Linked DNA regions of Coturnix japonica. The protein of the gene in region 1 interacts with the protein of each later gene in a pairwise test. Links are inferred from orthologs where the notes say so. Each region holds a gene or a part of one and is shown in the gene's direction. Other genes may lie near its edges.

What was found.
Region 2: the proteins of FMR1 (region 1) and CYFIP2 interact in a two-hybrid assay, tested with the Homo sapiens proteins (2 studies listed by BioGRID and IntAct). The link is inferred for Coturnix japonica from reciprocal best matches to the Homo sapiens genes FMR1 and CYFIP2.

The regions. Positions count from the first base shown.
Region 1 is NC_029519.1:17,282,073-17,285,892, reverse strand, and holds part of FMR1 (synaptic functional regulator FMR1), read left to right. Parts: intron 1-1,605; coding exon 1,606-1,776; intron 1,777-1,886; coding exon 1,887-1,965; intron 1,966-3,820.
Region 2 is NC_029528.1:13,113,711-13,117,530, reverse strand, and holds part of CYFIP2 (cytoplasmic FMR1-interacting protein 2), read left to right. Parts: intron 1-1,369; coding exon 1,370-1,459; intron 1,460-1,536; coding exon 1,537-1,614; intron 1,615-2,081; coding exon 2,082-2,183; intron 2,184-2,724; coding exon 2,725-2,906; intron 2,907-3,212; coding exon 3,213-3,309; intron 3,310-3,820. UniProt on the Homo sapiens protein: Involved in T-cell adhesion and p53/TP53-dependent induction of apoptosis. Does not bind RNA. As component of the WAVE1 complex, required for BDNF-NTRK2 endocytic trafficking and signaling from early endosomes.

The DNA.
Region 1 (3,820 bases):
AGAGAGGAGATTTAGATTGGATATAAGGAAGAAAATTTTTAAAATAATGCTGGTGAGGCACTGGAAGAGGTTGCCCCCAGAGAAGTGGTGGAAGCCTCATCAGGGTTTGGGCACCTGATGTAGCTGTTGATACCCTTGTTAGGTGCAGGGGAGTTGGACTAGATGGCCTTTAAAGGTCCCTTCTAACTCGAAAGATTATATGAAAATGAGAGGTGGATCTATAGGAGGGGGTGAGACTGTTGTCAGTATGTACAAATGGATTGGTTTGTCTCTAGATAAAATTATCTTAGAGCAGATAAAACTTCTGATATTTCTGCAACTGGAGAGTGGGTGCTGACTGGCAAGAAGTTTGACTCATCCATGGTGGGGGGGAAGGAAGGAGTAGAATAGGAAATTAGAGAATTAACCTGTCTTTGTATATTTTTCTCCCATCTACAAATCAGAATATATATATATATATATATAAAATATATAATCAGAAAAATATAGCAGCATTTCCTAAAACTTCTTTTTAGATTCATCAGCAAGAACTAGAAGAGTGATAAAACTTTGAGCAGTAGGTTTTATATGGATGCATACCAACTCTGTTGTTTTTAAGCCAGATTTCATTATTCCCCACCCTGCTCCCCAGAAAGCATTAGATCTGCTGTGGTTTTAGCCCTAAGTGGGATGTGGTGTGGTAGTTCAAACCTCTTGTATCCAGAAGGTGTTACTCACAACTGCTTGCAGGAAGTGTTTCTGTTACTCTTGTTAGTCTCCTGATTTCTGTATTTGAGAGCTGTAAGCCAACATAGTTTAGATGTTAATATTCTCAAGACCAAGAAGGAAACAGTTTCTTCTCATTGATTTTTTTTTTCCTTCTTGAGCACTCCCACTGTAGTTCTCAGTAATTCATTTTTGTCTTCTTCCAGAACTGGCAATCATGTGGGCAATTTACCTCATGAAATGCAGAGTATTATTTCAGAGGTGGGAAGAACAGCAGCCTTTTCAGAGCTCATTCTCTGTGTCCCCACAGAGGTGTGCACCAGCAACTGCTGTCTTTAATTCCCATTCCTAACTAATCTGGGATTCTTGCTTCTGTTCTAAGCATGAACCTTTTTTCTGCTGTGAAAAGCTGAAGAATTTTGTTCAACTCTGCTTAGAAAGCCTTTTTTCTACCTGCACCATACTTTAGTGAAGCTTATTGTGAGATAAATATCTATGATTATAATATCAGTTGGCTGATATTTGCCATGTTTCTGTTAATAACTATAAAGACAATTCCAGCCAAACTCAAAGATTTCAGGTACTAAAAACTGTATGCGTAATTTCTGTTGAAAAGCTAATTGATGTATAAATATACTGCACATATCCATGTACTGAACAAATATTTAGTGAATGGAGTTGGCTTTATTGCAATATTATTAATGGTTCATTGTTTTGATCAAATAAACTCCTTTCTGTGCCATAGACCTTTGAATGTCTGCTACTGTATTTTTCTATTGTAGCTCAGAGTAGGAAAGGTAAAACTGCTATGATGACTACACTAGCTTCTCTTTCTTTTCCTATTCTCATTGTATTGATCTGTCTAATTGCTACAGCTATAAATATCTGGATTCCTTTCAGAGTTCTAGACAACTTGCATCACGATTTCATGAACAATTTGTTGTTCGTGAAGACTTAATGGGTTTGGCTATTGGCACTCATGGTGCTAATATTCAGCAAGCCAGAAAAGTTCCTGGAGTGACTGCCATTGATCTTGATGAAGATACCTGCACATTCCATATTTACGGAGAGGTAAGATCCCTTCGTTAATCCTTCAGATGATATGAGTTTAAAAAAAACAATAAACACAAACGCTTTGGGAAAACCCATCTCATTTCTCTTACATACCCTTTGTGTTTTAGGATCAAGATGCAGTGAAAAAGGCAAGAAGTTACCTTGAGTTTGCTGAAGATGTCATACAAGTCCCAAGAAATTTAGTAGGTATGTTAGTCCTGGAGATTGGTATTAAAGAAAAATGCCTTCTGAGGTTTTTATTTTTTACAACTGAGGCAGGGTAGGAAAAAGTTATCTGTGAGCAGTTCTTAGGTGATAGACAGCCTTCTAGTTTGAAGGCTGTGGGTTTTTTTTTAATGGCTTTCTTTTTGTCACAACCCTCCTCTATACCCCAATTCTGTCCTTCATAGGGACAGTCCTTTGTAAGGAATTACCTGCTGGTTTGCAGTTCAGAGATGCCTTAATACAAAGTAGAGTAGTTTCTTGATTGAGCCTAAGAATTATTTCCTTCAAAGATGCTGAGGTATTTTTTCAGCTGTAGAACAGATAAGTAATTCTTGCACTGTCTTGTATTTTTCTCCCGTGCTTACGTTTGTTTAGAAGCAGCACTGTAGGATAAACTGAAGGCCTGGTTAAGGCACTTGAAGGTCAAGAAAACTCTCCAAAGATAATAGTGACTTAGATTATCAAATACCTGGTGAGAGTTCACTGGAGTGCATGTGGCCCTCATTATGTGGGGGAAATGTGGAAGTTGTTTTATTGAGTTTTGTTGCTACAAAGAGGAAGAATACTGTGAACTCTAATGTACCTCATATGGAGCAGTTTACAAAAGCCTGTGTTGAAGCAGTGGAAAATTCTGCAGAGGGACAAGTGCTTATAATTGCTCAGCTCTGGAGTTGTTTTAGAGCAGTAGCTTTAGGGTAGGTTCTTCATCCCACTCCCTCTTGTTACCTCTAAGGGGCAAGTGAAATGCTAGGCTGCTGTAGTTACTTTAATTAGAAATTTATTTTGTCTATTTTCTGCTTAGAACCCTGCGTTTACTTCTGGTTTTGGCAGGATTTTACTTGTAGTCTGCTTCTTGGCCTAGATTCCTTAAAACACATAATTGGACCAACCTTATCTCATATCCAAAATAGTGCTTGTTCACTTACTAATTTCTAGTAATTTGCCAGAAAACAAATGAGTATGGATTATTAAGTCAAAACCCTGTTACTATGTCACTGGAATCTTTACGTTTTCCTTCGATTAAAATAAAAGCTCGGCATCTGTTTTCTCTACATAATTATCCTTTAAAAATTTCAAACAGAACTAAAAAAAATTTTTGTTGCCTTTCTAAAGGTTTCATAGAAATCAGTAACCTAAAACGTAGGTTACAAAATGGACTGTATCTATACATAATAATTTTTAATGTTTCATGTATGTTGCTGAATTCTTCTTAACATTTGTTTTTAAGAAATAAGTTTTTCTGTAATTTAATGTTCATTTTTGTATTTGGTTCACCTGATTTTTATTTATTTATTTATATTATTTTTATTTTTTTTTAATTTACCACCAAGGATTTTTTTGTTTTGTTTATTAGGAAACTGTTACACCAAAGATGTGTAATGGAATAAGTTACTCAAAAGAAGCCTTTGATTGTTTGAACAAGCCTTGTGTTCAAGGAAGACCTTTGTAGCTTTCTTTTTTGTCATGTTTTCTACAAATATTTAGGGTTTAAAATTAAAAAAAAAACAACAAACAAACACAGAAGTGGAAAAATCCATTTAGCTTTGAATAATAGGTGCAATGTTGTTTGTGATTAAAAGAAAAGTTTAATTTGCTCTCCTGGGGTTAATTGTATCAGCTGTTATGCACTCAATATTTACTGCCTTTATTTCAGTACTGTCCTCTTTAAAAAATAAATTTAAAAAAATCCTTATTTTTTGGTTTTTCAGCAGTCATAAGAATCTGTGTTCCTGTTAAATATGTTGACAAGTTCTTTCACTGCTAACTAAATGGTTTTGTTTAATAACAGTATAATAATACTCAATCTTTGGGGGAGAAACCCTGAAAATTGAATGTT
Region 2 (3,820 bases), on another chromosome or scaffold:
TCTGCACGCCTTACCGTGGTCATGCATAAATGCAACCCAACGGTGATTGCTGTGCTGTGTGTGCAGGGTGCTGGAGTTACAGTATCTCTTTCAGCAGGTCAGACTGAGGGCTTGTTCAGTAGCATTGGTATCACCCTGGGTTATCAGACCCAAAGGCATTTCTGGGCTGTTCAACTTTCATCTCTCCCTGGAAAATCTTAGTAACATTTTAACATCTATCTTCACAAAGTAATTTTTACCCTCTGCTGGCCTGTGGCCCATGGGAGGCTCAATGTCCTGCCCAGTGGCACAGCTTTACTTGTGCTTCATGGCCACATGTGTGCTCTCAGCTTGGCCTGTAAACCTCACTGAAACAATGACAAAACTGAATCTGGAAGTACTGGCCAAACCTGGTTCCTCATCACACCTGCTTTAGGGGTAGCACTCTTCCTGCTACTTGAGAATGCATTTGCAGCCTCAGGTTTGCTGCACATTAGGGTCATGGATGCACAAAGAAAAGCAGCTCTATGGCTACAGCTTTGTGCTCCCGGCTCAGCTGCTCAGGAAGTCAGTTATTGAGGTGAACACAGTCACTGCAATGCTGATGACATTGCTCTGTGCGCTTGGGACTTATATGTGCTCTGCTGTGCAGCAGATAGCATCAGGGTGCCTGCGCAGAGGAAACTGCCCAAGCCTAAAGCATGTGAATGAGGTGGAGGCGCTGTGCTTTCACCCCCTGCCTTGCTTTGCACTTTCTTACTGCCATATCTACATGCAAAGCAGTAGCTCAGGTTTCACAACAACTGTTTCCCCCAAAGCATCAGCTTGCAATAGAAGCACTAGCACTAAGCACTGAGTGCTGACGCTCACATTTATGTTTCCCAGACATTTCTTTCCCTACTCTTTCTATGTTTATCCTTTGCAATTCCTGCTGACAGGATGTGGCCTTCCCCTAGCAGCCAGGGCACAAATAGAAGTTAATGAGGTTAAAAGACTGAAATCCTTCATATACTTGCTACAGTTCTGCTCACTGGTGTGGCTACAGTTCTGTATAAATGATCCCCACTGGCTTGGCTTGATTTTAGAAAGCTTTGTCAGTCTCAATGGCCACATCTTCACATCCATCATCTGCAGGGTTTCCTCTAATGAACGCGTGGGATTCCGATATGCAAACTGCATATATTAATCTACTTTATCCCTAGGGATGCAGTGATTTTCAGCACCTCCAATTCATTATGACCCCTATGTCCTAAGATCCCTCCTGCTTCTCCCTGTGCCTGCTGGGGGTTTTCTTGCCTGTACTTCTGAAACAATTTGACAGCACACGGCATCAGGTGAGCAAACATCTAGCTTGTGCATATTTTAATCCTCATCTCCATTTCACCCATAGGCTAATTTTGACACAAACTTTGAAGACAGAAATGCCTTTGTGACCGGCATTGCCAGGTACATCGAGCAGGCAACGGTGCACTCCAGCATGGTGAGTCCCTGGGCACTGCCCAGCAATGCCACACTGCAGTGTGTGCCTTGCCCTATCAACACCTCTCTGTGTTTCAGAATGAAATGTTGGAAGAAGGCCATGAGTACGCCGTGATGCTGTACACGTGGAGGAGCTGCTCAAGAGCCATCCCCCAGGTATGCGTGGTTTTGTCTTCAATGGATCAGTTTGGGTCAGTTTGGGGTGGAGACAGAAAATAAGAAAAGACTGAAGAGGGTAGAATGGTTGAAAACAGAAACCAAATGTTCTGCTGTTGGTGTACCTGAAGGTCCCAGGCTTAATCATTCTCCCCTTCTAGTTCTGTTTCAAATGTTTTTCAGTCCTTCTCCAACCTGAATTTTGGTGGTTCTGTCCTTCAGACACCTACAGGCATGACTAAGGTTGCCCACATGGTCCACTGAGCTGTGATTCAGCCTCCAACACAAAGCTCTGCCACATGAGAGCTCACTTCATCACTTCAGAAGTGCAGGCTGACAACACTGCAGGCAGATGCAGCACACTTGCATTAACCCTACTGATAAAAGGGTTTGCAGGACTTCTGTGGAGCTTGGAAAACATATTTCTGCATATTTTTAATGCTGACAATCATCATTTGTCTTTGCAGGTGAAATGTAATGAACAGCCAAACCGAGTGGAGATTTATGAGAAGACAGTAGAAGTTCTGGAGCCAGAAGTGACCAAGCTTATGAAGTTCATGTATTTTCAGGTATGTGGTCAAAGTAGTTGACAAAAATAATGTCTTTGGTTTGAGATTCTTTAGCAGGGCCAGCATAGCTCACTCTGCTATGTCACAGAGTCAAACACCAAAGCTAACAGATGCCACATATGAGACACTTGAGAAAATAACATACTCAGATCCCAGCAGAGTAATGACAACATAGAAAAACAGAGCTGCTGTAGGCTCAAGGGAGCTCCCTATGTCACTGCTTGCATTTACAACTGGCTGCAACTGGGTTTTACTACCGCCTTTGGGTTTCATGTCCCATGAGATCTTAATTCTCCACCTAAAGAGCCAAAGCGTTATTTGGCAGACAGCACTGCTATCCAGGCAGGCTGGGCAGAGGATTCAAATCTCCTCTTCCCCTCCAGCATGGAGGACATTTGTTGCAGGGGTCTGTAATGCTGCCTCATTTCATGGCAATAACTGAGTGAGACCCTGAAGCTGCCATCCCACCAGGGGAAGGTAGGGGATGGTGGCTGTAGGGGTGGTGGTGTGCATGTGCTGACCCTATCCCACTGCCTTCCAGCGCAAGGCTATCGAGCGGTTCTGCAGCGAGGTGAAGCGCCTGTGCCATGCAGAGCGGAGGAAGGACTTTGTCTCTGAGGCCTATCTCCTCACCCTGGGCAAGTTCATCAACATGTTTGCAGTACTAGATGAGCTGAAGAATATGAAGTGCAGTGTGAAGAACGACCACTCGGCTTACAAGAGGTGAGAGGCAAGAAGCAGGGCTGAGCCTGCACCTGGTCTGGCCGAAGGCATTGCCTGCAATGGGATCTGGCAGATACAGGGAGGCTGGAGGGTGGTTATCTGTGCTGTTGTGGTCTCTTTGTAAGAAAAAGACCAAGCTTCTGTGTGTTTCAGTTCCCTGTTGGTAAAATGAGGAAAGGGGAAGGCTCTGCTGCAGGTGAGCTCTGCGGCTGCTGCTCTGCAGCTGCAGGTGAAGTGAGGAGGATGGGTGGCGAGAGCCTGGCATTGGGCAACAGTTCATGGTGATGGTGGATTTTTCCCATTCAGAGCTGCCCAGTTTCTGCGGAAGATGGCAGACCCGCAGTCCATCCAGGAGTCCCAGAACCTCTCTATGTTCCTGGCAAATCACAACCGCATCACACAGGCAAGTCCATCCCTCTGAACCATTTGACCCTTCCATGCTTCAGGGAGCTTCAGGCTGGACTGCAGCAATATCTGCCTTTTTTTGTTGGGTCATTTCTGATGATTGTTGGTGTCTGGGTCAGGCTGCATAAGTCTAGTAACAACTCTCTCCATTGGGTTATCCTGGGTAGCTTTGGAGGTCTCTTTATGTCAAGACAAGGATAAAACTCTAAAAGATGTAAGAAGAGCTCTCAGGAGGCTTTCTCTCATAAACCTTGCCCTTATTTTTTTCCAGAAATCCATCCAGTCTGTCTCTGTAGCTGCATAGGGATTGCAGATCAGACACAAGGGACCTCCACAATCTACAGGCCCTACAGATTCTGCTAATTAGATAAAATATTGCACAGAGACAGGAGACAGTCAGAAGGTCTGCTTCTGAGCAGACTGTTTTTCATCTCACTGTCTGACGCTTGGCTGCTGTCATCAATCTGAAAAGGAGAGCTCTCCTACAGGTTCCTCTTTATAGGTGGTAC